7 linked regions of the Xenopus tropicalis genome follow. The protein of the gene in region 6 purifies or fractionates together with the protein of the main gene of each other region. This does not show direct contact. Links are inferred from orthologs where the notes say so. Each region holds a gene or a part of one and is shown on either strand. Other genes may lie near its edges. The genes, in order: slk, gabpa, niban2, pgam5, tsc22d4, keap1 and ikbkb.

Region 1 (3,820 bases), on a different chromosome or scaffold from region 6:
TTCCTTCTTTACTTTTGCTTCACTTTCTTGATCTATGACTTGATTTTCAACTACAGTAGGCACAACTTGCTCAGAAACAGGCTCTAACGTTGAGGTATTCTGAGAGAGTTTATCGTCTTCTAAGCTAGCAATGCTTAGGTCTGATGAAGCTCTTTTATCTGGAACAGGCTAACAGGACAATAAAAATATATAATATTGTTAATAATAATAAAAACATTAGGAAGTTTACCTCTGAAATAATTATGCAGTTTTGCTTATTAAAATATGATCTAGTAGCCACAATCTATATTTAGGAATTCCAGGTCCACAACTGGCACCAACAAAGCATTTTTGCAGCTATATAGCACATTGGAACAATCTGCCTGGCTTCTATGGTTCTAATGCTGAAAGCTCACACCAGACAATTGAAGTTAATAAAAAGTTGATCAAGGAACGGGCCAATCTCCATCTTGGAGACATTAAAACAATTCCAAATGACCACTTTGAGAGGTAAAATATGTGATCACGTTCTAAAAAGACAGAATAAACTAAAGAACTTAAATTTTAATACCATACTTACCAAAGAACTTTCTCCTTCATCTTCCTCCTCATCCTCTTTAGCATCTTCTACTTCCTCCAACACTTCAGCTTTGGCCTCTGCTATTAGTTCTCGAAGTGGCTTGTTGGAATTTACCACAGAGACAAACGGGTGCTAAAAATGTCAAGATGATAAGCAGCACAATACACAGAAGCACAATATTAGTCAATCTGAAATTTCAAAGATCAGAAAGTTCTACATCATAATATATGTTATGAATACTCAATGTATGTATGCTTCTCTCATTACCTGTAGTAACTGAGTGGTAGTCCACCTTGCATCCACATTCTTCTCTAAACATTTCTTCAGGTAATCATTGAATTCTGGTGACCTAGAGTTAGAAATAGGAGATATAAGTTTAGCCACTACATATTCTGCTAAAAGCATTTATATTAAATACTTTGGGATGTCTTAGTTTACTGAAGGAGTTCCATATATACCGTATATACTCGAGTATAAGCCGATCCGAATATAAGCCGAAGTACCTAATTTTACCTAAGAAAACTGGAAAAACTTATTGACTCGAGTATAAGCCGAGGGGAAATGCAGCAGCTACTGCTAAGTTTCAATAATCAAATAATTAATAAAGGACACTCAGCGTTACCCCCTGTGAATAATAATAAATATATTATGTTGGCAGCTGCAGATTAGGGAAAGGTGATTAGGGAAAGGTGGATGGAGCCTAAAATAATTTTACTCACTCCCATCTGACCAAAGGCAGGGTGCTATACAGGGGCAGATAAATCTTTCTGCAATAAGAAAGATTAGCTTTTGTGCAATGCTGGGCAGATCACTCATTCACACATCACTGTGTGTATTTATGTTATACAGGTTCATATTATATTGGTACCTGGATGTACCTCTGATTGATGGCAGCTAAACGCCACAGTAACTTAACACACCAGTCTAATCTATAGGCTACCCGGCACAGGCCCACCCCCGCGTGAACAATAAGAAAGATTAGCTTTTGTGCAATCACTCATTCGCACATTGTATTTAATGTTATACTGGTTCCTATTATATTGGTACCTGGATGTACCTATGATCGATGGCAGCTGAGCGCCACAGTAGCGAACAGTCTAATCGGCAGGTAGACTAACCGGAACACGCTGGCCACCGCCCCCTGAATGTACGCACACACAGTAGCGAACAGTCTAATCAGCAGGTAGACTAACTGGAACACGCTGGCCCCCGACCCCCGCATGTAAGCGGCCTTCTGCCTGGATGTACCTATGAGCGATGGCAGCTGATCGCACACAGTAGCGAAGAGTCTAATCGGCAGGTAGACTAACCGGAACACGCTGGCCACCGCCCCCCGAATGTACGCACACACAGTAGTGACCAGTCTAATTGGCAGGTAGACTAACTGGAACACGCTGGCCCCAGCCCCCCGCATGTACACAGCCGAGCGAACGGCCAAGCACACGGGGGTGCGGCGAGCGCGACAAATGATATATATTATATATGTATATTCACTCGAGTATAAGCCGAGCCTGAGTTTTTAAGCACATTTTTCGTGCTGAAAAACTCGGCTTATACTCGAGTATATACGGTACAAACCGTTCAACTGATGATGATTTAACCTTTATCTGAAATATCTGCAAAAGTAAAAACCACTGAAGGGTATGTAGGGGTTTGACAAAAATGGGCCCTGTAGGATGAACACCCCTAGGGGTGGTGATGGTAATTGGGACACTTGGAATGGTTTGGGATATTAGTAGTTAACAGGGAGTATCCCTGTAGTTCTGGTTACAGCCACAGGGTGGTGTGTAAGGTTATAAAAAGGGATGCAGCCATGTGCTGTGGGGTCTTAGGCCTGGGACTGCCTCTGGGTAGAGGAGTACAACAGGCTCAGTTATTAGATAGTCAGTTCTGGTGATAGGTCGCTCCAGGAGTGACATGTAGGCGTGGAAGTTAGAATGGGCGGACATTGCCCCTCCAGGAGTGGTAGTGGGGTTAAGACCCCCCAGCAATACATTTGCTGGAGAGCAGGGCCCAAAGTGTCCAGGTAGGTGTATCAAGCCGCCGCTAGAAGGAGTCCTACTTTGAGGGTACCTAGGCGTGAGTACCGGGGTGAGTTCTGGAGGTGGGTCAGCCTGGCGAGAGTACCGGGGAGAGCCCTAAGAGAGGGTCTCTCGGCGTGAGTACCGGGGGGAGCACCTAAAAGGGATCATTTGGCGGGAGTACCGTAGATTACCCAACAGGAGGTAGGTTCTCTTAAGGTGAAGATAAGGAGTATATGCCCTGACGAATGTATGCCACTCCTGGAGAGGTTCTGCCCAAATAAAGACATTCATCTGGTACATCGCTTCTTGTGTATCTGGCTCATTCCTGCACCAGGGATCACCTACCCGCCGGTAAGCAACTACCCCAGGGAGGGGCAAGGTGCCAGGAGTTGTGTGGCGTCCCTGGCAAGCCTACAGTATCAGATCAGGTCCCAGGGTGGGAGTTACAGTCCCACAACATAACCCCTGGGTGGAGGCACGCCATTAAGAGTGAAGACTCCCTGTTACCCCCATAATAAGCGGGGGCTCAGGACTCCTGTTAGTGCCACAAGTATTAGCACTGTCACAAAAGTGGGCTACAGGTATTTCGAGATACTTCTGCGCCTCTCATCATCAAAAACATAAAACTGACATGATTCCATATTTCTCTTTCATTGCATACACAGTGTAATACTCTTCCAGATAGGAAACTATCCTTATTTTATTTAAAGGAGAAGGAAAGGCAAAGTCACTCGGGGAAGTTGCAGCGCTTCCTCCTTCCGGCTTTGCTAGCGCGCGCATGCGCAGTAGAGTGAAAAAGCCAAACTTTAACAGAGAAGTCGCCTTTTCACTTTACTGCGTATGCGCCTGTCATGTAGTCCTTGCAAAACGCAACAAGTGCACTTGCTTATGAGATTTTTGCTATCATTTTGCAACTGGTAGCAAAGTGGTCAAATCTTACTGCTAATTGGTTGTTATGGGTAGCTTCGCTGGTGAAATTTCGTACCTATGCACAACTGTATCCACCTTATTTTATGTGACCTGTTAGAAGACATCATACAAACAGCCTTAATGCAGTAACTAGTTGAAGGGCTTCCTCCTCTTTTGCTAAAGTGTATACTCATGAATACAGTGAAATTTTATAGAAATCCCAGTTAAATACAGACTAGAAAGAGTCTTTACAAAATGTCCTTATGCAATAAGAATAAACAAAAATAAACTGTCAGGTTAAAAATAAGTGCATGTGATAGTTATAATA
Region 2 (3,820 bases), on a different chromosome or scaffold from region 6:
CAGACAGATAGTAGCCTCTGACCTGAGGCCAAGTAAAGGTGTGCTCTGCTGTACTAGGGGTGTGCATTCAATTCTAGCTCACAATGTCGGTCACTGGTTCGACTGATGGACACAATGTTAGTCAGAGAGACAGCCATAGCTTGCCGCATATCTGACATATGTACTTAAAGAAACACTTCCGTATTTAAAACATAGATATTTGCCAAATGGGGAATCCGTATTCTGCAGTATGCTAATTAATAAAGCACAAAATAAACCCCATGGGACCCTTTAGGATCAGGAAAGGCTTTCTTAATGAAGATGGAAATGATTTTTATGGTGGAAAAGAACAGAAGGCTTAACCTCACTACAAAGAGCCGAGTTCATTAAGTTCATGTGGAAAATATGCCATGCTTCTTGAATGAGGGGCCACTGTAAACAAACGTGTTACCCGAAGAATTACAAGATCCAAGTGTACTGAATTCCAAGTCCTCTGTCGAAAAAAACAAAATCATGCCTTATACTGTGAGGTCTGAAAGTAAAAATGCATCAGAATCCCATAAATGAGGATCCTGCAATGTACAGATGGAAAGTATCAGTTTGAGTTTCTGCAGAGCCAAATTATTCTTTTTCTGTCTGAAGTGAAGCAGTAGCTAGTGCCACCGCAGTCATAGGCTGCCCAATGCCATGTAATTGCATCTTTGCCATTTTCTTTTGTTCACATTCTGCCACCAACCGACTCAGTTCTGCTGCACTGTAGCCAATGAGGGTCTTCAGATCACAAACAAACTTATAAACAAACCTCTTGCCTTGAACTTTACAGATCATGTCGCCATCATAGTAATACCTACAAGGAAAGAACAAATAGCTAGTCATCAATATTTCCCTAATGATACAAACATGAACATTAACAATTTAACTTTTAAACTCTTCAATCAAAATACAGGATACAGAATAACTAAAAATTACTATTCCACAGGAAGGTTATTTTACTTCATATTGGGTTTGGTTTCAAATTCTTGCCTTTTGTTACAGCAAGCTACAAGATTTGGAACCTACCGTAAAGCACGGCTAAGTTTCTCATAATTCATGGTGGGTTTGTTTTTTCGCTGTCCCCATTTTTGTGCCACCAGTTCTGGCTGGTTCAGTTTGAATTCTCCTTCGTCACCAACCCATGAAATACAGTCTCTAGCATCTTTGTCAGTGAGCAATTCTAAAAGAAACTGCCATAGTTGAATCTGACCATTGTTTCCTGTAAAAAAAAAAAAAAAATTAAATAAAATACATATTGAAAATGGTGACATGTTCATTTTTCTGAAGGACCATGTTTACAACATAGCAGTCTTTGGGGTTATGTAGTAAGAGGCACTAAGGTGCAGTATCCCATATCTGCCCAGGTGCAGTATCCCATAGCTACCAATCAGCTGGTAGCATTTACTGGTCACCTAAACAAAAGCAAACATCGTATTGGTAGCTATGGGTATTGCTTATGGGCACACTTAGTGCTTTTTTAATTACATATGGGGTATGTGTTAATGATTTATTAACCTATAAACTGTATAATTGGTCATCAGTCCAAAAAAGAAAAAAAAGTGCATGCTGAATTACCCGTTCTGTTTCCCGGTGAACTTCTGTCTTCCCCAGAAATGCGCGGCGTCCTTTGTATTTTTGCTACTTTGGTTTGACTGTTTATTACTTTAATGGTTGTTTGTGCTGTTGGTTGGATTGATGCTGGTATAATTTGTACAGCTACAAAAGCAATTAAATAATAAATAAGTTTTCATTAACAGTTTCCCTTTTAAATATAAGCCAAAAATTTCTACATTACAACAACAGTTGCACACAGTAAGTACTATCAGGAAATTAGGTTATGTAAGAGTTCAACTGCTAGTAAAAATGCAAAGACGTTGTCTTACGCTGATCAATGGTAACGGTCGCAATTTCACCTCCATGTTCCTGGCTTGCCAAAACATCTGAAAACACATGGAAAAAGCTGTTTAGCCTCCCATTACTAGATTAAACAGACATTCAGTCATTACTGGTAACAAAAGCCAGCAAGGCATTTAGTAGTAACTTGGCAGTAACCAGTATATATTCTACCTGATGGCACCCAGTTGTCAAATAAAATGCCCTAATTTAATTTGACATCACACCCAATATGAGGAGCACCTTATATAACTTGTTCACTGTGGCTTTGAAGATCAACCTTGCAGAAAAGGTACAGATATTTTAAAAATATGTGTGCAAGAAAACGTAAGATTTTCCCAGTAGTGTGCATCCCACAAATTTGATCAACAATGGAGCAGATATTGGGGAACTTCTTACATTTCCTAAGAAGCTCCAAATGACTCCACAAAATTTCTCCTCTGGGGACTCTTTGGAAGAAATCTTCTTGGTTAAGGTTGCAGAGTTCTCTTCCTGTTATACCGAGGGAGTTCACATTTATTTCAGTCAAACAGAATTCTTTCATTACCCAAAGCACCCAATGAAGAACCTGATCAACAGACCACTGAAGTGGATCTGAAAATAATGGGAAAAAAAGAAAGACAATAAAACATCACATTTCTGATTTGAGTACTGATGAATAATTATTTACAGGAAATTTAGGCACAGCAGTTTAGCAGCAAGCTAAATCCATCTGATCCTATCTACATGTCTTCACATAACTATGCAGGTTGAATATGAATTTGCTTCTGTAGTGTGAATAGGGATATTTGTAAGATTTAACTAAATATCATCTTGTTTTTATGCAGCTGCTGTTATTCAATGCAAAAACAGAGCAAAGGAGAGAATTTAAAAAGCCTTGGAAGCATTTTAAGCCTCTCCCTTCTTAAGGCTAATGCCGTTTCAGTGGGAAATAGCCATGGCAATAAACTCATCCAGTCTACAGCTTTGGGTTGATAGCAAGTTGCCATGCACTGGCTAAAAAGTTCTCTATATGCTATCAGCCCAAAACTGTAGACTGGATGAGTTTATTGACATGGCTACTTGCTATTTCCCATTGAAATTGCCTGACTGTGCCAGTACTTGTGCTGTCAGGCATTTCCCTAAATGTTAAGTCCAGTCTCTAGTGTAGGTAGGGCTGGGCGATATACCGTTTAATACCGAATACCGGTGTTTTTTTTAAAAACTATATTACTATATTCATTTTTCAGATACCGCAATACCGGGGTGTCAGGGTACTCACCCGTGCGGGCCGGTCTCGCGTGCGTCAAAGCGCACGTACATGTCAAAGCGTGCACGTCCGTAATGCGCTGACGGCGCCGGTTCTGCACATGCGTGGGGGGTATTTAAAGCTATCAAACGCCTCCTCCTGTGCTATGTTGTCTGCGGCCTTGCCTGGGAAACTAAGCCTGCCTGATTTACCTTACGACTTTCTGTTGCCGATCCTTCGCTTGCCTGACTCTGATTTTCAATACTGCAGTAATTATTCTCTAATTTATTAGGAAATGGGGTTAACACCTAATCATGCATGGAAAAAAAAAAAATACCGTCAAATACCGTCACACCGATATAATTTTGAAAAATACCGTGATATAAATTTTTGGTCATACCGCCCAGCTCTAAGTGTAGGACACAAAAATAAAACACGATCTGCAGAAATATATTTGTTATTGTTTGCTCATCTATACACATATTACTTTTGCTAATCTATAATAAAGCTAAACCATGTAATCTTACATTGTAAAAACAGTCATTCAGAACATAAAATACTACAAATATACTTTAACATCCCTTGTAAACTCATTTTCCTGAATTGTTAGGTTTAATTAAATTACTTTAAGCTATTGCAAATGTTTTTTACCATATGGAATGCCTAAGCGTTCTTGCTCCTTCCTGT
Region 3 (4,583 bases), on a different chromosome or scaffold from region 6:
TGCTCCTAACCATTTGGCCTGCTTAATGGTTATTCCCTATTTCTGAATGAAAACAAAGAGGAGAAATAGATGGAAAAATAGATTTAGCATGTAAATAAAAGAGACTAAGAGGATAAAGATGTTGGTTGAGGAAAGGAGGAAAAATAGTTTGGAGAGTGTGCCTAGGGTCTAAGGTTTTCTGGTGGGCCCCTGGGGTCCCAGTCCGACTCTGTTTACCACCAACCTATATCAGGCATTGAGTATAGGAGATTGTGATAGTGTTGGAACTAGAATTAGGAAGAAGAGGTACATGCGTAGAGTGCAACAGTGGGTGGCACCAGTCATGTACCTTTTCTGCCTGCCAACCCCAAGTTCCAGCCTTTCTGCCTTGTCGTTAGCTCCTGCTCCTCTTCTTTTAGCTGGCAAGCCCTGCTTGTTATATAGTGTGGGTAGTCTGTAAATAGGAGGGTGGGTGACAAGTGGGGGGGTTGTGTTGCTCTGGGTCTTGCCATGGGCACATTAAAGTGATACTGACACTAAAAAACGACTCCTCAAAATATGAATGTACATAAAAAGTTGCCTATAGGTCATGTTGATTGATTTTCGCTGAGAGATTTGCTTTTGTAAATAATTGTTACTTGAAGTAAACCAACCTGACTGTCCCTTCCCAGCCTGTCAGTTATAGTTTCTAATGCTAACGGCCTCCTGCTGGACAAATATGGCAGCCCCCTTATAGGGGAACATGGGGGATCAGACAGGTAATATAAAAGCATTGGGCAAATACTTTTATAGCAAAAATGAAGGTCATGCAAAGACTATGTTATGATAGATGTAAAAAAAGGTTTAATTTCTGGTGTCAGTATCTCTTTAAGGGTTTGGCCTAGCGCTAAATGTGCCCCCCTCTAGTAATGTCTCCACCTATCCTCTTTACTTAATTTTTCAGAATTATTTGAGGTTTGGTATGGTGCCAAGGGCAAATTGATTCAGTGGTGCCTCTATTCAAAAAGGCATCCCATTCTCAGCCTGAAAACTATAAGCCTGTTAGTTTCAAATTGGTTGTAGGAAACCAGCAGTGAAATGAGACACGTGCCCAGTCAGACTGCTCCCACAACATCCTACTGTTACTTCTAAGCAGGAAAAAGAAAAACACTTTTCACTGGAGGAAAAAAAGAACAATATAAAGAGCTTTGCTGATATGATAACATGTTCTTGTTTTTAAACTTTGCTCATTGTGTATAGCCTTGTTTGTTTTTCTTATAGAGCATTATTCTAGCCAATTGCGTGACTCCTGAAAGAATTGAAAACAGCCATCTGTCTTGATTCTTTGTGATGGGTCCTTTCACTGCGCTGGTGCAGTCCTTGATCAACAGGATTTTTGAAACCTGCCAGATCAATATCTGTCACAGGACCTACTAAGGGCCTTTTACATGGCCAAGTTGGCAGCCTTTATCAGCCCATGTATGGCCAGCATTTTAATACCTGTTTTAGTGAAGAAAAAGTCTTTATGTATCCTTTACCTAAGGGACCCATCTAGAGTTGCCACCTTTTCCAGGTTTTAAACCCCGGGTTGCATGCCATGCAATGACATCAGGGGTGGCATTACTGTGTTATTCCCAGAATGTTGAAAACTGGGTTTTGTCCTGAACAGTCCCTTAAAAAACTGGAGGTGGCAGCCCTAGGCCCATCTGTTTTAAATATGGGATGATGATGTTTGTTGATTAAACAACAAAGTTTAGTGTGACTCAGGGTACAGGCATAGGGGAAGACTGATGCTATTGTAGGGCTGATTTTTGGCCTGTGTTTATCCATGTGGCATTAGCCTAAGGGCCTTCAGTCTCCTGATACCAATGTAGGGGCTGATTCTTGACCTAAAGCCTTAGGCCCGGAGGCCACCCCTGTTGGTCGCCCCCCCCCCTCCAGTCATGCGCATGCGTGAACGCGCGACACCCCCCCCCGCGCGCGCGCCAGCCGCGAGTGTGCATGCTTCCATACGGAGCAGTGGGGAGAGCTCCCAACGAGTCAAATTTAAACATTTTGTTTCGGCGGGGCGGCATGCCACCCCTAAACTTCTGCCGCCCTAGGCACGGCCCTTTGTGGCCTCTCCACAAATCTGGGCCTAGAAGTATCCACTATCGTTTTTAAAGGATGAGCCTGGGAATCAAAAGCAGAAGTGTGTCAGTCAAGTTAGAGCTGGGCGGTATGACCAAAAATTTATATCACGGTATTTTTCAAAATTATATCGGTGTCACTGTATTTGACGGTGTTTTTTTTTTCCATGCATGATTAGGTGTTAACCCCATTTCCTAATAAATTAGAGAATAATTACTGCAGTATTGAAAAATCAGGCAAGCGAAGGATCGGCAAGAGAAAGTCGTAAGGTAAATCAGGCAGGCTTAGTTTCCCAGGCAAGGCCGCAGACAACATAGCACAGGAGGAGGCGTTTGATAGCTTTAAATACCCTCCACGCATGCGCAGAACCGGCGCCGTCAGCGCATCGCGGACGTGCACGCTTTGACATGTACGTGCGCACGCAAGGAGGCGCGCAAGACCGGGCCGCACGGGTGAGTACCCTGACACCCCGGTATTGCGGGGTGAAAAATGAATATAGTTTAAAAAAAAAAACACCGGTATTCGGTGTTAAGCGGTATATCGCCCAGCCCTAAGTCAAGTTACTCCTACCGTGCCCTACAGTCCTTCTCACTGACATCTCCCCTTTCAGTAAGCACAAGTTGCTTGAAAAACAGATGAGTCAGAGAAAATGAATGATGTGACCGAATGAAGACTGACTTGACTGATACTCACCCAAGAATATCTGTCATTCCATGCATATTAACGCTCCCCATAGGGAGGCACTTCAGATTCCATGTTCAGACCTAGAAGTGACATATGACATAGTTAAAACTAAAAGCTGTTAGTTTTTTCAAAGTCAGTTCAGTGTCGGCATTGCCAAGGAATGAATTTCTATATAAGCTATCATTTCATTTGGCAGTGATTGGAATATTTCCCATCATTTGGATCTAATTGTCTGTGTATATACAGCTTCAAATCACCCAGTCCTTCATTGTATTACATTATCCTATTATATTTCTGAATTTAAGTAACATTGTCATCATATAATAAGCAGCTTTTTTAAATAAGCCATAATAATTGTACAACAAACGTAATTGTGAATGTGCCATTCTAACCATTGTTATGTCTCTCTGTCTCATAATTGAGGGGTGTATTGCTTAGCAGGAAAATGCTAAATTATGTGCATCACTTCCTATTGCAATTAAAGGCCTGTTTTTTGAATGAGAATCACTGCGATTATAAGACATATCAAACCTATTACCTTTAAATACAGCCAGTTTCCATGGCTACCATGTGTTGCCTTATTTACAATAATTCAATTTATGTTTTTTAATATATTATTATTAATATATTTATAAGATCCATAGTCAGGGGTGTATTTAGGTCCGGTGCTGCCCTAGGCACTGAGCTTATACACACCTCTACCTCATGCATATGACGTTACATGCACCAATGTCGTTAAAGTGATGTCATGTGCAGTGTGCACATGATGTCACTTCCCCAAAACCTTCCCCAAAACCTGCTTCTAAAATTTCCATTGTCATAGAATCGTCATTAGCAATGGTTGCAAACAGGCCCAGATTTGTGGCAAGGCCACAAAGGCCCAGGCCTACGGCGGCACAAATTTAGGGGTGGCATGCTGCCCCGCCGCACCGAAAGTTTGACATTTTACTCCCCCAAACATTCACTAACCACTGTTTTTTACCTCTCACTCCGCACTTACTCTCACTTTACACACCTACATGAACTCTAACACCATGCTAGTTACCCTGACCTTATGTCTCAGCCCTCCCTTTTAGAATGTAAGCTCTTGTGAGCAGGGCCCTCCCCCTAGTGTCTCCGATCCTCATCCAATGTAACTGCAAACCATTTTTGTTTATATGTACATGTTAACTGTTATGTCTTTTGTACCCCTCTATTCTGTAAAGCACTGCGTAAATTGATGGCGCTATATAAATAATAATAATAATACGGAGCAATGGGGACCTTGCTTCAGGGAGGTTTGGAGGGGTGTTCGCGAATGCGGGGGGTGACGAATTGGGGCGGCCTTGGGGGGATAAGAAATCTGGCGCTGGTTGCAAAACTGTGGGGGTGGCCCCCTGTAGGCCTGGGCTGGCAATCTGTGGATTCTGGCAAATGCCAAAGGGGAGATTCCACTGCCAGTCACTATTTAGTGAGCTGGTTGGGGCCTGTTTGAGCCTCTGTGTACTTAAAATGCCAGGGCCTATTGTGCATCATCATGGAGGGCTTGAAGCAGTGATGGGGGCTCTTAGTCTAAAGCCCAGCTAGGGTGAGATTTGGGGAAAAAAAGTTATTTATTCTCCTATTTGCACCACAAGGCCAGCTAGAGTGAACACTTAGATATTCTTGGAACTGTGGCTGATACAACAATGTCTTCTTTTATCTGTAACCTTGTTATGAGCTATAGGGGGCCTGACTCAAGGTTGGACCTTCAATATTCTTACAGTCATCCTGCTAAAGTTCTACAGATATCTAAACAGTAACTAGCCTTTCACCCCTAAGTCTAACTTTAA
Region 4 (4,420 bases), on a different chromosome or scaffold from region 6:
TTACGTCTTTTTCATATTTTTTGCGATTTTTTTCGGCGCCTTTACGACTTTTCGGAAATTGTCGCGACTTTTTCGTTACCAATACGATTTTCGCAAAAAAAAAAACGCAAGTTTTTCGTAGTCATTACGATTCGCTCGTATCTTGTCGCGACTTTTTCGTATTGAGCGCTCGTAAGCGGCGGCCGAAACTTTCAGACTTAGCATGATTTTGGAAGCCTCCCATAGGACTCAATGGCACCCTGCAGCTCCAACCTGGCCCAAGGAAAGTCACCATACTGAAGCTTGAATTAATCCGAACGCTACGAAAAAAATCGCAACATTTTGCGCAACTTTCGGAATGGCTACGAAAAAGGCGCGACTTTTCGCGCAAGTTTTAACGCTACGAAAAAATCGCCAGATTTTACGCAACATTCGGATGGCAACGAAAAAGTCGCGATAATTTTCCAAAAAAATCGCCAAATACCGATCATTGCGAAAAAAACGCATTCGGCCGTGAGTAAGTAAATGGGCCCCTAAGACTTACACGGGCCTTATAAATTGTGTTTGGCGGGAAAACCCACAGACAATAGAGTGAAAGTGTAACACTCAATCACAATAAACGTGATGACATCAAACCCATTAGTGTACATCTCCATATGTTTGCTATCTTATATCTTTACTGTGTATTTAGATGCATGAATGTTTCTATTTCGCGTAGTTATTTTCGCTAGCTTTTGTGGTTTATTCCAATTTATTCTTTACTTTTATTTTGCATTTTATTTCCTACTTCTGGATTTGTCCTGTTGTTTCATATGGAGATGTACACTAATGGGTGGGGGTTTGATGTCATCACGTTTATTGTGATTGAGTGTTACACTTTCACGCTATTGTCTGTGGGTTTTCCCACCAAACACAATTTATAAGGCCCGTGTAAGTCTTAGTGTGTAACTTTGACAAAGGCTGGTGTTGCAGCCGAAACGTCAGTTGTCGTCTGTTTTCAATAAAGCACTTAAAAAATGAACCTTAAGTCCTGTGTGAGCGGTTCCTGACCCCGGGATTGTAAAAACTTTTTGATTTTTTGGGACTGCACCCAGGCAAGATAACTACACGTGAGTGCCGGTTTCTTCTATTTATATATATATATATATACATACACACAGAGGGGAAAATAAGTATTGAACACATCAATGTTTTCTCAGTAATTATTGAAAGAAAATAAAGCTGCTAGAATGACCCAGTCAATCACCCAACTTGAATCCAATTAAAAATCTATGAATAGAACTGAAGACCAGAGTTCATAGAAGAGGCCCATGAAACCTTCAAGATTTGGAGACAGTTTGTGTGGAAAAATGGGCCAAAATCAGACTAGTTTCTCCATACAGGAGGCTCCTTGAAGCTGGCATTACCAAGAAAGGCTTTTCTACAATGTATTATATATGTGAATGTGTGTAATAAAGTGGAATGACACAGGGAATAAGTACTGAACATTTACACAATTTATGAAATGATTTGTTTTGATTTCTTTGTATGTGTGGATAACGTGGGTTGTCACCGACATCTGGTGTTAATTTCTTGCTGAGAAAACCGTTGACGTGTTCAATTGTTATTTTCCCTGCTGTATATATATTAGTTTTCACAATCCTAGCTGCCATCTATTGCCAGGAAGGTGTTACCTTGGGAAAATAATAATAAATCCAACTATCAAGTAACTGGCATTAAGGAAATGCTTAAAGGGCATGGAAAGGCAAAGTCACTTGGGGGTGCCAAAATGTTAGGCACCCCCAAGTGACTTAAATCGCTTACCTTGTACCCCGGCTGGTGCCCCTGTTGGGAGAGAACAGCACCAGCCCGGGGTAGCAGCGAGCGCTTCCTCCTTCCTGTATCACTCGCGCGCATGCGCAGTAGACTGAATAGTGGAACTTTAACAGAGAAGTCGGCTTTTCACTCTACTGCGCATGCGCCTGACTCACAGTCACAGCTTAACGAAGACGGAAGAAGGAAGCGCTCGCTGCTACCCCGGGCTGGTGCTGTTTTCTCCTAACAGGGGCACCAGCCCAGGGTACAAGGTAAGCGATTTAAGTCACTTGGGGGTGCCTAACATTTTGGCACCCCCAAGTGACTTAGCCTTTCCTTCTCCTTTAAGTGTGTAACAGACAATTAAAGGGCCAGCCACAATAATATATATATATATATATATAGTTTTATGTTTTTCACTAGTAATAGCATATCATATTTCAATAAAATGAATAGGGCTTGTACTGAACATACATTTTGCCTATTTTTTATTTAGCAAAACCTATGGTTCTTGTTCTTTGTTGAGCTAAAAAGGGAAACTGAAAGTACTCCATGCTTTTGAGCCTTGGGAGAATAACAGCCTCCTGCATATCTGCGCACTGGTTTTCCAATATCCACCTCACAAGAACAAAACATGGCTTAAACGTCCCTGTATAGTGCAAACAAATACAAAATACTCCGTTTTTTTTTTTTTTTTTAAATTAAAACAAAAAAAATGGAACACGGGCTGAAGCAGGAGAGTGTACTACAAAGGTGTTTATTGCCTTTTGCTTTGAACCCATAGAAACACCTTTATGTGTCGGAGACGTTCCTGTTTCTATACTCTTGTTTCTATACTTGGGGGGTTGCATGACCCCTCACTAACAATGAAGGCTGCAGTCTCTTTACTTTCCCAATATTTAACAGGGTCCAGACTTGCCCAGAGTACACTATGCCCCCACAAACATCCTCTCAATCACACCCCTTGCTGCCAATGACGGCATAAGTTTGCGCATGCGCACATAGTGCCTCACCGGTCCCAGTTTCGGTCCCACTGCCCAGTTGCCGCTGGCACCACGGATAGAATATCCAAGTCGGGTCCTCCTTTGCTTTTGCCTACCGCTGCTGCGCCCAGAATAGCTGCCGCCGCTGCAGCCGCAGAGCCACCGGCTATGAGAGCCTTGCGGAGATACATTCGCGGCGTATGGATATCTCACACACGTTCTGGCGGACCAAGCGCAAGCTAAGCCGAAAAGCAAGCTGGGAGTTGGAGTTTCCACTACACCATGTCACGTGGTTTCTCAGCCTCCAGTCATAACATTCAGTCCTAATTTCGGTTTCTCTGGGCTTTGGACAGCTGCTGTTCACCCTTGCATGTTATTTTCTTTTTAATTCAGAGCCACCACTTTCCAATATTATTACGAAACATGACAGTGGCTTTAAAGTTATTAGTAAATGTTATTGCAATAAAAAGCAGCATTTGTTTATCACTTAAACAAGTATAATAAAAAAAACATTAAAACAAAATTAACTAGGCAATGAATGTATATTGGATTGTAGCTTAGAATTTTAATTCATGCAAAAATTTTTTTTGAATGTAACATAATATAGTAACTTAGGCTGACAATAAGCTACATGTCCACTGATTTCAACCTTTTATGCCTGTATGAAACCTGCCTACATGTTGCTCCCAGTGGCCTCAAAGTAGGCGCCCTGCTTCCATAACTAGGAGGCAAGTTTTGTACTCCAAGCAGAGCCTCCCCCAGGCTAGTAGTCCGCATGGGGCTGCCAAATAGCCAATCACAGTCCTTAATTGGCATCCCCAAAGAACTTTTTTTTTAATGTTTGTGTGGCTCACCAGTAAAAAAAGGTTGGGGATCCCTGATCTAGAGTAAGGCAAAAAAAAAACAAAAAACCCTTTGAAGCCTCTCAAATTTGCCTCAGAGGGGGATAAAATTTCTTTCTGACTTCAAGGTGGCGATTGGGCTAGTTCCTGGATCAATTTGATCTAAGAGTACAAGTATTTCCTCAATTAAAGTAAAAAGCCCCTTCTTGAAGCCATCTAATGTATCTGCCAGTACAACTGATTCAGGGACTTATTCTCATTGTAAAAAACCCTTTCCAAATACTAAGATTGAACCTCCTTCTTCTAATTTGAATGGGTGCCTTCATGTCTGCTGGAAGGACCTACTGGTAAATAAAGCATTAGAGAGATTATGATATGATCCCCTTATATATTTATACATAGGTATCATATCCTCCTTTAAGCATCTCTTCTCCAGCACAAATAACCCCAACTTGGCCAGTCTTTCTTCATAATTGAGATTTTCCATACCTTTTACCAGCTTAAATTGCCATTTTTTTAAGACCCCCCTCTGTGTGGCCCCCCACCTGTCTGGCTGCTTTGATGGCTTACCTTTGAGTAAGCATTAAATGGTATCAGTACTGAGATTAATTGACCCCCTGCATGGTTCTCACCTCAGATTCAGGCTGTAATCCTCCTGTATTGTATAAATATGTAATCCCCTGTGTTTTTCACACCTTTGTTCACCCCCTGCAGTGTTCACACCTCAGGCTCAGACTGTAATCACTCCCATTGTTCACTTCTTCACACCTCAGACATAGGTACTGTAGGCAGAGTATGGCACATACAGCCAGCATAGGGCAG
Region 5 (4,385 bases), about 13 Mb from region 6:
TAAGCAGGGAACTCTGAGTATCACTCATGTATTATAAGGGATAATGTACCCCCTACTGTAAATGATAAGGATATTAGCAGTCACTGAGGGGTTCTGTGCCCCCCATATAAAGGCACAAGGCTGCAGGCTGAGTTATACAGGGAACTCTGAGTATCACTCATGTATTATAAGGGATAATGTACCCCCTACTGTAAATGATAAGGATATTAGCAGTCACTGAGGGGTTCTGTGCCCCCCATATAAAGGCACAAGGCTGCAGGCTGAGTTATCAGGGAACTCTGAGTATCACTCATGTATTATAAGGGATAATGTACCCCCCTACTGTAAATGATAAGGATATTTAGCAGTCACTGAGGGGTTCTGTGCCCCCCATATAAAGGCACAAGGCTGCAGGCTGAGTTATACAGGGAACTCTGAGTATCACTCATGTATTATAAGGGATAATGTACCCCCTACTGTAAATGATAAGGATATTAGCAGTCACTGAGGGGTCTGTGCCCCCCATATAAAGGCACAAGGCTGCAAGGCTGAGTATATACAGGGAAACTCTGAGTATCACTCATGTAATTATAGGGATAATGTACCCCCTACTGTAAATGATAAGGATATTAGCAGTCACTGAGGGGTTCTGTGCCCCCCATATAAAGGCACAAGGCTGCAGGCTGAGTTATACAGGGAACTCTGAGTATCACTCATGTATTATAAGGGATACTGTACCCCCTACTGTAAATGATAAGGATATTAGCAGTCACTGAGGGGCTGCAGGGATATGGTATAAACATAAAGGATTGTATATTCACACTGAGGCAGCAGTGATTGGTAGAAGAGGGAGGAAGAGCTGCTGTGGGTTAAGGGATATACAGAAGAACTACATCCCATGATGCACTGTAAGGCCGGCAGTGACAGGGTGGCCAATAGAGCGTGGGGAGTCAGTGCAGGGAGTTATAGCCTGTGTTATGGTATCACATGAAAGGATAAAAGCTGAAAAACAATTCAAGGCCGGGGAATTGGCACAGCCAATCACTGCTCTCAGGCTCCCTGGCACTCATATTCTCCTTTACTGTGCGCAGCAGGGGGTTATATTTGTGCGGCTCCTGGTGGCCCCACGGTACCTTTGGCACAGAGTATGCAGGGGGCACCCAGTCAACTAGGGGCGGTTTGCCTAATGGGTCGTGGGGGTAACCCTGTAAGCCCCCGCCTAGCCAATGGGAAGTTATACGTTTTTATAGAAATGCTCAGTATTCAGCCAATCAGGTTGCAGACATTACAGCATGTGACCGTGGCACCAGTGGGCCCAATAACGCACATTATTAGCGGCCTGTGGGCCTTTGGGAAACTGGGGAAAGGTGAGATGTGCTGGAAGCTAATTCTAAGCAACTTTTCAGTTGGGCTTTATTTTTTCTGCTTTATAGTTTTTGAATGGTTTGCCTCGTTCTGAATCCGTCCGGCAGTTACATGAGGGTCGCTGACCCCCGACATCTCAAAAACAAATGTTCATCTTTGTATCCAAGCCCTCCGCTATTCCAATTCCAGCCTCTCATTCAAACCAAGGCCTGGCTGCTAGGGTAATTTGGACCCTAGCAACCAGGTAGCGGCTGAATAAAACAGCGAAATAACTCAAAAACCACAAAAAAGAAAACCAATTGCAGATGGTCTTAGAATTTCACTTCCTACATCAGGGCAAAACAACCCCCCCTGTAATGTAATGTAATGGGTGGGTGTGGCTTATTACAGCAGTGGGTGGGGCCTATTTTTCCACAGCATCCCTCTGTTTTTTCACCCCAATTCCAGCACTGAGTTTGTGGGGTTTGGGTGGATTATGGGTAGGAGTTAGTCAGACGGGAGCAGGGGGCCCCCACAGACAGGATGATGGGGGGGTCTCTCATAGGTACCAGCACATACACTGTATATATCCCAAATGCCCCAGTACAAGAATATTTCCCATCAGCCTCAGCCCCCGACTCAGTTCCAATCCAATCAGCCCCACTCTAAGTAAAGCTCCATCTCTTGCACTCACTTTCTCACTCGACTCTCTCTTACTCCTCTGTCTCTCAGGTAAGGTACAAGTCTCTCCTTACTCCCCCACTCACTCTCACACTCACTCTTACCTTCCCTCTGTGTGACTCCCCCTGGCTCCCCCACTCACTCTCACACTCACTCTTACCTTCCCTCTGTGTGACCCCTCCTGGCTCCCCCACTCACTCTCACACTCACTCTTACCTTCCCTCTGTGTGACCCCTCCTGGCTCCCCCACTCACTCTCACACTCACTCTTACCTTCCCTCTGTGTGACTCCCCCTGGCTCCCCCACTCACTCTCACACTCACTCTTACCTTCCCTCTGTGTGACTCCCCCTGGCTCCCCCACTCACTCTCACACTCACTCTTAGCTTCCCTCTGTGTGACTCCTCCTGGCTCCCCCACTCACTCTCACTCTTACCTTCCCTCTGTGTGACTCCTCCTGGCTCCCCCACTCACTCTCACACTCACTCTTACCTTCCCTCTGTGTGACCCCTCCTGGCTCCCCCACTCACTCTCACACTCACTCTTACCTTCCCTCTGTGTGACTCCCCCTGGCTCCCCCCACTCACTCTCACACTCACTCTTACCTTCCCTCTGTGTGACTCCCCCTGGCTCCCCCACTCACTCTCACACTCACTCTTACCTTCCCTCTGTGTGACTCCTCCTGGCTCCCCCACTCACTCTCACTCTTACCTTCCCTCTGTGTGACTCCTCCTGGCTCCCCCACTCACTCTCAGGGGAGATGGCTCTCACACTCAGGGATGCTCCATGCCTCACACGACTCCAGGAAACTTTCTCTCCATGCAGCTGCAGGTTTGTGAGTCTCTCAGTTCATGTTCTGTGGCCTGAAACAGTCTCTCCCTCTCTCTCCCTCTCTCTCTCGCAGTCTCTCCCTCTCTCTCCCTCTCTCTCCCTCTCTCTCTCGCAGTCTCTCCCTCCTTCCCTCCCTCCTTACTCAGCCTGTTGACATCTCCTGTGTCAGGAAGTCCAACCTCTTGTATCTGTCGCCTCTCACTGCCTCCTTCTGCCTCTCTGCCCTCCTCCTTCTGCCTCTCTGCCCTCCTCCTTCTGCCTCTCTGCCCTCCTCCTTCTGCCTCTCTGCCCTCCTCCTTCTGCCTCTCTGCCCTCCTCCTTCTGCCTCTCTGCCCTCCTCCTTCTGCCTCTCTGCCCTCCTCCTTCTGCCTCTCTGCCCTCCTCCTTCTGCCTCTCTGCCCTCCTCCTCCCCTCACTCTCCCATTCACACTTCCCTCAGCCCCAGTACAAGTTTCACCCCCAACCTTCTCTGCACCCCTATTGTACTTACCCTATACCCCCTACTCTGTGTATCCCCCCCCCCCCAGCCTATTGTACTTACCCTATACCCCTACTCTGTGTATCCCCTCCCCAGCCTATTGTACTTACCCTATACTCCCCTACTCTGTGTATCCCCTCCCCAGCCTATTGTACTTACCCTATACTCCCCTACTCTGTGTATCCCTCCCCAGCCTATTGTACTTACCCTATACTCCCCTACTCTGTGTATCCCCCCCCCAGCCTATTGTACTTACCCTATACTCCCCTACTCTGTGTATCCCCTCCCCAGCCTATTGTACTTACCCTATACTCCCCTACTCTGTGTATCCCCTCCCCAGCCTATTGTACTTACCCTATACTCCCCTACTCTGTGTATCCCCTCCCCAGCCTATTGTACTTACCCTATACTCCCCTACTCTGTGTATCCCCTCCCCAGCCTATTGTACTTACCCTATACTCCCCTACTCTGTGTATCCCCTCCCCAGCCTATTGTACTTACCCTATACTCCCCTACTCTGTGTATCCCCTCCCCAGCCTATTGTACTTACCCTATACTCCCCTACTCTGTGTATCCCCTCCCCAGCCTATTGTACTTACCCTATACCCCTACTCTGTGTATCCCCCCCCAGCCTATTGTACTTACCCTATACTCCCCTACTCTGTGTATCCCCTCCCCAGCCTATTGTACTTACCCTATACTCCCCTACTCTGTGTATCCCCTCCCAGCCTATTGTACTTACCCTATACTCCCCTACTCTGTGTATCCCCTCCCCAGCCTATTGTACTTACCCTATACCCCTACTCTGTGTATCCCTCCCCCAGCCTATTGTACTTACCCTATACTCCCTACTCTGTGTATCCCCCCCCCCCTATTGTACTTACCCTATACCCGTACTCTGTGTATCCCCCCCCCCAGCCTATTGTACTTACCCTATACCCCTACTATCCTACTCCTGTGTGTATACCCCCCCAGCCTATTGTACTTACCCTATACCCCCTACTCTGTGTATCCCCCCCCAGCCTATTGTACTTACCCTATACCCTACTCTGTGTATCCCCTCCCCAGCCTATT
Region 6 (3,820 bases):
CCCCCCACTGCTACTATAGGCACCATCTCTCCCTACTATACCTGCTATCCCACAGCCACAGTCCCTTCCCAGAGGCTATTATCCCACTGCTACTATAGGCACCATCTCTCCCTACTACACCTGCTATCACACAGCCACAGTCCCTTCCCAGAGGCTATTATCCCCCCACTGCTACTATAGGCACCATCTCTCCCTACTATACCTGCTATCCCACAGCCCCAGTCCCTTCCCAGAGGCTATTATCCCCCCACTGCTACTATAGGCACCATCTCTCCCTACTATACCTGCTATCCCACAGCCCCAGTCCCTTCCCAGAGGCTATTATCCCCCCACTGCTACTATAGGCACCATCTCTCCCTACTATACCTGCTATCCCACAGCCCCAGTCCCTTCCCAGAGGCTATTATCCCCCCACTGCTACTATAGGCACCATCTCTCCCTACTATACCTGCTATCCCACAGCCACAGTACTTGCCTGACAAGATTCTAGGGTGTCCCAGACAAACTTTTTTTTTACTTCACACAGCACTCCATTGCACCCAAGAGCACCCCAATTCTCAGCATTCATTGCTACAAAAACAGTGAGACCCACTTGCCCCACCTGTACCCACTAACATTTTGTTTTTCGTCTCTGTGGAAGATGATTAACACGCTATGTTCTCAGACCTCAGTCCTATCATTCGCGTCTCAAGGTCAAACAGCTCAGCGCCTTGCACAACACCATGAATAAGCATTGGGGAAAGCACAGAACGGAAACCACAGCGCTACGTGGATCTGCCAAATGTTAAAGGGGCTGCTCACCTTTGAGTTAACTTTTACTCTGAGACAATTTGCAATTGGTCTTCATTTTTTTATTACTTGTTAACTTTTTGTTCAGCAGCTCTCTAGTTTATAGTTTCAGCAGCTATTCGGTTGCTAGGGTCCAAATTACCTTAGCAACCAAGGAGTGGTTTCAATAAGACACTGATATATGAATAGGGGACAGCCTGAATTGAACAATAAGCTATAAAAAGTAATAACAATAAAACTGTAGCTTCACAGAGCAATGTTTTTGGGCTGCCGGGGTCAGTGAGCCCCCTTTTTTTTTTTGGAAAGAGACAGAGGAATAAGACAAATAATTCAAAAACGATACAGGCAGCTCATCTTTGGTGCGACTAGCATCGGAACTGCTGCTGCTGAACTTAGGAGCCTAAAGGGTGTTCTATCAAGCCAAAATGGCAGCATTAATGCAATATTTACACGCCACGTGCCAGGTAAACAGGGCACAAAAAAAATAAATAATGAAGACCAATTGAAAAGTTGCTTACATACTAAAAGTTAACTTAAAGGTGTACCTCCCCTTTAAAGCCCTGATACAGTTATTTGACTCACCTCCCCGAATTGCATGTATATATATTCCCGCGCCTTCTGGTGCAACTCGTGGCATCCGATCTGCTCCGCAAAGGTGGCTATGCCGATGGCGTTACTCGGGTCAAGCTGCTGGATGAGAAAGTCGCAGCAGGCCTTGACCACGCTGTCCATCTGGTACATGACGGCGCCGTTCATGACGTGGATGACGCACTTCTCTCCCACGGAAATGCTAGCTGTGTAGGCAAACTCCAAAAGCCGCTGCATGACTTTAGGGTGAACCCCCTCTATGGTAACGGTCTCCATGCCGCACTCCCGGAGGCCATTGGTAAACATGGCGCGGAACACGGGGCTGCTGGACGCCAGCACAATCTTGTGGGCCACAAACTCATCCTGGACGTCGTTGTACTTGACCTTCAGCTTGACGTCGCACAGTTGCTGCCCCAGCCGGAGCTCGTTCATAATCTGGAAGGCCTGGTTGGTGTGGTCGGCCAGGCTATACTGAAACTGCCGGTTGCCATTGCTGTGCGAGGGCGTCACTTCCGCCTGGCACTCTGTCGCGTACATTCCTGCTGCCGTCGGAAACGCCTAACGGGGCATCATTAGGGGGCAAAAAGATTTCTTCAAAACAAACCTATTGCCATTTTTCTTTAAAAAAAATATTTTAAAAAAATAAATTAACTGTGCAAAAAAAATGTGTCAAAAAGACCAATAAATTATTTCACGCAGAAAAAAAAAAAATATTACGGATACTTAATCCATATCAGTTTGTCCAGATTCTCTAGTCAGGAGTGATTTAATCCATCCCGGTCGTTTGGTTAACGGGGGGGGTTAGCAAATGAAAAATAAAAGTCTCTGCCTAGGGGTTGAGCATGTTGCTGGAGCAAACCCGGGCTACGGTGAGTCGGTGGGATCAAATAGGAGCCCTTCTAGTTCATTTTCTGTTTGATACCTGGAGAGGAAGAAGGAAGAGAAGTTGAAAGCTGCTTGTGATTAGCCGGGAATGTGCCAGAACGAGTGACGCCATAGAGTTATGACTGCTTTACACACATCCCATGTTTACCTGGCACACTGCGCGGCGTGTAAATATTGCATTAATGCAGCCATTTTGGGTTAATAGAGCACCCTTTATGCTCCTACGTTCAGCAGCAGCAGTTCCCATGCTAGTCGCACCAAAGATAAACTGCCTATATAGTTTTTGCATTATTTGCCTTCTTCTTCTGTCTTCTTTCCAACTTTCAAATGGGGGTCACTGACTCCGGCAGCCAAAAACTATTGCTCTGTGAGGCTACAATTTTACTGTTATTGTTACTTTTGATAACTTTTTTTTCTTTTCAGGCCCTCTCCTACTCATGTATCAGTCTCTAATTCAAACCACTCCCTGGTTGCTAAGGTAATTTGGACCCTAGCAACCAAATAGCTGCTAAAACTATAAACTAGAGAGCTGCTGGACAAAAAGTTAAAAAACTTATTTTTCTGTTCAGCTTCACTACTATTCATATATTGGTCACTCTCTCAAACCTCTCCCTGGTTACTAAGGTGAAATGGACTCTAGCAACCAGATAGCTGCTGAAATGTGAGACTAGAGACCCCGGCAGCCAAAAACTATTGCTCTGTGAGGCTAAAATGTTATTGTTATTGTTACTTTTGATAACTTTTTTTTCTATTCAGGCCTTCTCCTACTCATGTATCAGTCTCTCATTCAAACCAATCCCTGGTTGCTAAGGAAATTGGCACCCTAGCAACCAGATAGCTGCTAAAACTATAAACTAGAGAACTGCTGAACAAAAAGTTAAATAACTTATGTTTCTGTTCAGCTTCACTACTATTCGTATATTGGTCACTCTCTCAATCTTCTCCCTGGTTACTAAGGTGAAATGGACTCTAGCAACCAGATAGCTGCTGAAACGTGAAACTGGAGAGCTTTGAAACAAAAAGTTAAATAATAAAAAATGAAGACCAATTGGAAATTGTCTCGAAATATCACTCTCTACATCATACTAAAAAACTACCTCAAAGGTTTAGTATGATGTCGAGAGTGATATTCCGAGACAATTTCCAATTGGTCTTCATTTTTTATTGTTTGTTACTTAACTTTTTGTTCCAAAGCTCTCCAGTTTCACATTTCAGCTGCAATCTGGTTGCTAGAGTCCATTTCACCTTAGTAACCAGGGAGAGGTTTGAGAGAGCGACCACTATATGAAGAGTAGTGGAGCTGAACAGAACAAATAAGTAAAAATAACAATAAGTTAAATAAAAGTAACAACAATAAAACTGTAGCCTCGCAGAGTAATAGTCTTTTGGCTGCCGGGGTCAGTGACCCCCGTTGAAAGCCGAGCAAAGGCAGTAAATGAATGCAAATAATTCAAAAACTTTAAAAGATAAAAAAATGAAGACCGGTCGAAAAGTTGCTGAGAATTGGCCATTGTCTGCCCTGCTGGTTCTGACTTCTGAAACAATGTAGCACAAAGCC
Region 7 (3,820 bases), about 7.4 Mb from region 6:
CTGAGTTGGTCATATATAAGGATGACTCTCTTCTCGAAGCTCTGGATGGCTTGAATTAGGAGGCGCACCATTTCATTGCTGTCTCCTGCTGTCCTTTGATCTACAGGTAAAAAAAATACATTGGTGCTGGGTTCCTAGAAATAAATTTACGTTTACGTTTAGAGCAAGTCAGATCTTCTCGGTAAGTCCAATATCCTTACTACATGTCACATGGAGTTGAGCATGTTGAAACTACACTTCCTGAGTAACTAGCAGGTAGCCTAAATACCATGATAAATTAACAGAGTCAGGTTTCTGGTGCTAAACCGCAAGAAGGGTTATCTAGCCCATCGTATTCCCGTCATATTTAGTAATACAGACTCTTTGGCCCTAGAGCCAAATACAACTAGTAAGGGGATTATTTACCCATATTTGCAACAATAACTGCTTACCTCTAGGTCTCTCCCGTAACCGCCGATATAAATCTTTAGCCTGTTCTTCTCTGGCAATAAAAGTAGAAAACAATGTTTTATTTAGACCGTCATAGAGAACAGCCAACCCCCAACACAATTTACAGAACACTTCATATGATGACATGAAAGTACAATGGCTGAACAGTTTCCACCTCACTCACAGGTCATCCAGTGTCCCTCGGTGTTTCCTGCCTAATGGATTTCTCTGCAGATCTACACTGTCTGTTTGTAAAGCCATCATTTTATCCACAAGAGCCTGCACTTCCCTCTCCTACAAAAGAACAAAAATGTAAAGAACTTAAAACAAAGGAAAATCCAACACACAGTGGTTGAAAAGGTAGGTAACCTTGTTTCGCAGCAATGAGCAATTGATTTCTGGGCTTCTCTCTTGCCTTATGATCTGGCAGGGGGTAAAAGTTGGGGTCTGACATTAAGAGCTGACTGGGGTTTACTACTACACTGATCTCCAGGAAGCTCAATAAGAACTCTCTTTAGGTTCCAAAGCTAAAGCCCTCCTTTACCCCATAAAGATCAATGCAATGGGATATACTGCATTTTGGGAAAAGAGCAGCCCATAACCAAACAACCTGGATACATTTAAACAATGCAGACTGCGGATATTTGGGTGCATTTGTAATTAGACCAAATTTGTAATTACAATACACAAGCCCAAACCGCAAATGGTTGCTATGGGGGAAAAAAGCAGTGCACTGGTTTTGCCCACGGTGCCCCTTTAAGTAATGGAGCCCGAGACCCTAGGGTACATATATTCACATAGCACGTTTAATTTATGGAGTGGGCTTTCGAGTATCATTATCCCATTTCATCTCATTCCTTACCCTGCCGCACAGTTCCACTGTTTGCTCCGTCTCTCTCCAGGCTGACAGGAGCTTTTCAGAAGCTGCGAGAAAGAAACATTGTTCATATCATTAACAGGTAATGTAAAGGTGAACGGCTCCTTTAATAGATATCATTGATGATAAGGTGATGTGTGTGAAGTAGGAACCCATATAAAGGCTCAAAATACAAGGGCTAGACCCTGGCCTACTAAGTCTCATCCTGCAGACTGTATGGCTAAAAGCAACAGTAATAAAGAGAAATTTGCTCTTTTATGAATATGCTATTTCACAATAGTAACACTGCATGGTGCAGATTTTGCCCTGTTCACATTTCACAAGTTCAATATATAAAAACTGGCATTTCTAGACATATTCATTTTTAGGGTTTAGTTCTCCTTTAAATCTGCATATAACAGAACGGGTACCTTCCGTATCCTAAGCAGAGCTTTAATTTTATCTTAATGCTGTAAACTAAGAGGCCATAGTTTGATATGCACAGATCATTCCTCTGTGTAAAACTGTATTTATACAGAAGACTGGAAGCTCCCATACTGCTTGCTGTTAATACAGAAAGCCATTTATGATGACTATGAATGCTGTTTAGTGGTTGTCTAAAGAAAAAAAAAAAAAGCTGTGCATAATAACAGTGTGTCAGAGGTTACAGCAAAGTCAATAAATCACTATAGTTCTCTTTACTAAGCAATAAAAGTCGACAGAGGGCCCAGCCAGTAACTTACTGATTCCAAACTCCATCTGTTCACTGTATTTTTCTAGATCAATCTGGATACTGTTCCGGAAGAAATCCAGTTTGGCCTTTAGCTGCTCAAACTCAGAAGTCATGAGGTTCTTCTTTTTGGAAAGTTCAGTATTGTATCGCAGCAGGTTTACCCTACATAACATAGAGATATGCCCTCAGCACTTATGCATAATACATGGAGAAACACACATCTGCCACACATACTGTCTGTCCCACCCACACGCAGAGCTCTCATACTCACATAAAGGTACGCTGCCCATGAAGCAGACGGGCACAATCCTCTTTCATCGCTCGTATTGTCTGCCAGGTCTGCCCCCACACGCGGCGAAGGTGGGTGTAAGTGAGGGGCCGCTTGGGATCCTGCACTGGAATAGAATTAAGTGCCACAGTGTCACATCACCATCAACAAACCACAAACCTCAGGATTAGACAGATGTATAAACCCTGAAGGCATAGGCAAACGTCTGAGTCCTCAGGCAAGAGGAATATACATATACATGTATATCCCTTGCCATTACAAGCCAAATATCAGTGGCACTCACATATAACGGTGACACTCTCGGGATGTGCCGGCAGTGATATCTGGGGCTCATATACAGTCTTCCGGTTATCAAATAGAAATATCAGATCACCCTCGCCCTGGCGCCCATCATTGACCTGTAGACAAAAGCAAATAAGACACTTATTGATTAAAATAATTCCAGTTTATAGACAACAAAGATATTGGCCTATGACCCTCAAGCAGTTACAACTCCCACCAGCAGCCAGCATCTTATATGGCAAGGTCAGATCTAGAATGCAAGAACAACTGCAGGTGGAATGAACTAGAACAGTTGAGGGTTTTACTACACTTGCTGTACTGAAAGTAATATGAATATTTGAATCTGTATATTGCACTTAAGAGCTGTAATTAAGCAGTGAAACATATGCCTATATGGTCACTCTCTGAAGTCAAAAAGACAATGGTTTTCCTTTCATTAACAGTTCCACCAGATACTGTGACCTGCAAAGAAAGGCTGCTTACAGAAATATAATTTAAAGTTGCATTTTAAGTTGAACCACACTAGCCTTGTGTCACATGACACAAAACATTTTTTTTGCCATATTTGTGCTTTCATAATGTCATTTTGCGGTGAGCATGAGAAGACTCTTACCGTGCAGTCTACCACAAACTGGGTTAGAGGCTGGGCAGGATTAAGGGCCAATCCTGATGCCTGCAATAGTTCCTGCTCTTCCTCAGGAATCCCTGTGTCTTGCTCCAGGCGACTCTTCAGATTCTGCAGGTTTTCATTCTCTGACACCGGGTAAGTGTGCACCTTGCCAGACACCATGTTCAGTACAGACAACAGCTGGGGGGATATATACACATGTACATCAATATATCAGCAATAACATATATGTTTATAAAAACCTGTGATATATATCCTTATAAGTAGTGCTTAGTGAGGTTATCATATATAAATCACCCATAGCCCATTGAAACGTGTATTAAAAAATAAGCAATCCCCTGCTTCAACATTTAGGAACATTAGAAACCACCTTACATGGTCTGTGGTCCTTATATCTTAAGAGAGGGTGTTGTATAAACATATATGCAGGTCTATCCTGTTGGTTCTGGTGCTTTTCTTGAAACTTTGGGGCAGTTCTCTCATCCAGAGTATCTGCCTTCACCTTTTTTGCTGTTTATTGCTGGGTGGTACGTATAGGTTTGATTTTTGTTTTGATATTGTGTACATATCTTATGAATGTTGAATTATTGTTATACAATAATT

The links.
Region 1: the proteins of keap1 (region 6) and slk purify together in Homo sapiens (affinity purification with western blotting; 3 studies listed by BioGRID and IntAct, with this or other methods). This does not show direct contact. The link is inferred for Xenopus tropicalis from reciprocal best matches to the Homo sapiens genes KEAP1 and SLK.
Region 2: the proteins of keap1 (region 6) and gabpa purify together in Homo sapiens (affinity purification with western blotting; 3 studies listed by BioGRID). This does not show direct contact. The link is inferred for Xenopus tropicalis from reciprocal best matches to the Homo sapiens genes KEAP1 and GABPA.
Region 3: the proteins of keap1 (region 6) and niban2 purify together in Homo sapiens (affinity purification with mass spectrometry; 3 studies listed by BioGRID and IntAct, with this or other methods). This does not show direct contact. The link is inferred for Xenopus tropicalis from reciprocal best matches to the Homo sapiens genes KEAP1 and NIBAN2.
Region 4: the proteins of keap1 (region 6) and pgam5 purify together in Homo sapiens (affinity purification with western blotting; 6 studies listed by BioGRID and IntAct, with this or other methods). This does not show direct contact. The link is inferred for Xenopus tropicalis from reciprocal best matches to the Homo sapiens genes KEAP1 and PGAM5.
Region 5: the proteins of keap1 (region 6) and tsc22d4 purify together in Homo sapiens (affinity purification with mass spectrometry; 4 studies listed by BioGRID and IntAct, counting the BioPlex papers as one, with this or other methods). This does not show direct contact. The link is inferred for Xenopus tropicalis from reciprocal best matches to the Homo sapiens genes KEAP1 and TSC22D4.
Region 7: the proteins of keap1 (region 6) and ikbkb purify together in Homo sapiens (affinity purification with western blotting; 7 studies listed by BioGRID and IntAct, with this or other methods). This does not show direct contact. The link is inferred for Xenopus tropicalis from reciprocal best matches to the Homo sapiens genes KEAP1 and IKBKB.

Annotation. Positions count from the first base shown.
Region 1 is NC_030683.2:27,933,441-27,937,260, forward strand, and holds part of slk (STE20-like serine/threonine-protein kinase), read right to left. Parts: intron 909-3,820; coding exon 827-908; intron 692-826; coding exon 560-691; intron 169-559; coding exon 1-168. UniProt on the Homo sapiens protein: Mediates apoptosis and actin stress fiber dissolution.
Region 2 is NC_030678.2:18,565,956-18,569,775, forward strand, and holds part of gabpa (GA-binding protein alpha chain), read right to left. Parts: coding exon 3,785-3,820; intron 2,500-3,784; coding exon 2,305-2,499; intron 1,953-2,304; coding exon 1,896-1,952; intron 1,729-1,895; coding exon 1,588-1,728; intron 1,232-1,587; coding exon 1,039-1,231; intron 827-1,038; coding exon 601-826; 3' UTR 1-600.
Region 3 is NC_030684.2:31,995,973-32,000,555, reverse strand, and holds the start of niban2 (niban apoptosis regulator 2), read right to left. Parts: upstream 2,823-4,583; coding exon 2,782-2,822; intron 1-2,781. UniProt on the Homo sapiens protein: May play a role in apoptosis suppression. May promote melanoma cell invasion in vitro.
Region 4 is NC_030677.2:155,457,117-155,461,536, reverse strand, and holds the start of pgam5 (serine/threonine-protein phosphatase PGAM5, mitochondrial), read right to left. Parts: upstream 3,109-4,420; 5' UTR 2,948-3,108; coding exon 2,787-2,947; intron 1-2,786. UniProt on the Homo sapiens protein: Mitochondrial serine/threonine phosphatase that dephosphorylates various substrates and thus plays a role in different biological processes including cellular senescence or mitophagy. Modulates cellular senescence by regulating mitochondrial dynamics.
Region 5 is NC_030679.2:151,477,204-151,481,588, reverse strand, and holds the start of tsc22d4 (TSC22 domain family protein 4), read right to left. Parts: upstream 3,070-4,385; 5' UTR 2,976-3,069; intron 2,951-2,975; exon of another isoform or gene 2,714-2,950; intron 2,547-2,713; exon of another isoform or gene 2,439-2,546; intron 2,356-2,438; exon of another isoform or gene 2,109-2,355; intron 1-2,108.
Region 6 is NC_030679.2:138,050,758-138,054,577, forward strand, and holds part of keap1 (kelch-like ECH-associated protein 1), read right to left. Parts: intron 2,300-3,820; 5' UTR 1,915-2,299; coding exon 1,372-1,914; intron 1-1,371. UniProt on the Homo sapiens protein: Substrate-specific adapter of a BCR (BTB-CUL3-RBX1) E3 ubiquitin ligase complex that regulates the response to oxidative stress by targeting NFE2L2/NRF2 for ubiquitination.
Region 7 is NC_030679.2:130,604,684-130,608,503, reverse strand, and holds part of ikbkb (inhibitor of nuclear factor kappa-B kinase subunit beta), read right to left. Parts: intron 3,398-3,820; coding exon 3,203-3,397; intron 2,706-3,202; coding exon 2,591-2,705; intron 2,414-2,590; coding exon 2,290-2,413; intron 2,181-2,289; coding exon 2,029-2,180; intron 1,354-2,028; coding exon 1,292-1,353; intron 724-1,291; coding exon 614-723; intron 482-613; coding exon 432-481; intron 101-431; coding exon 1-100.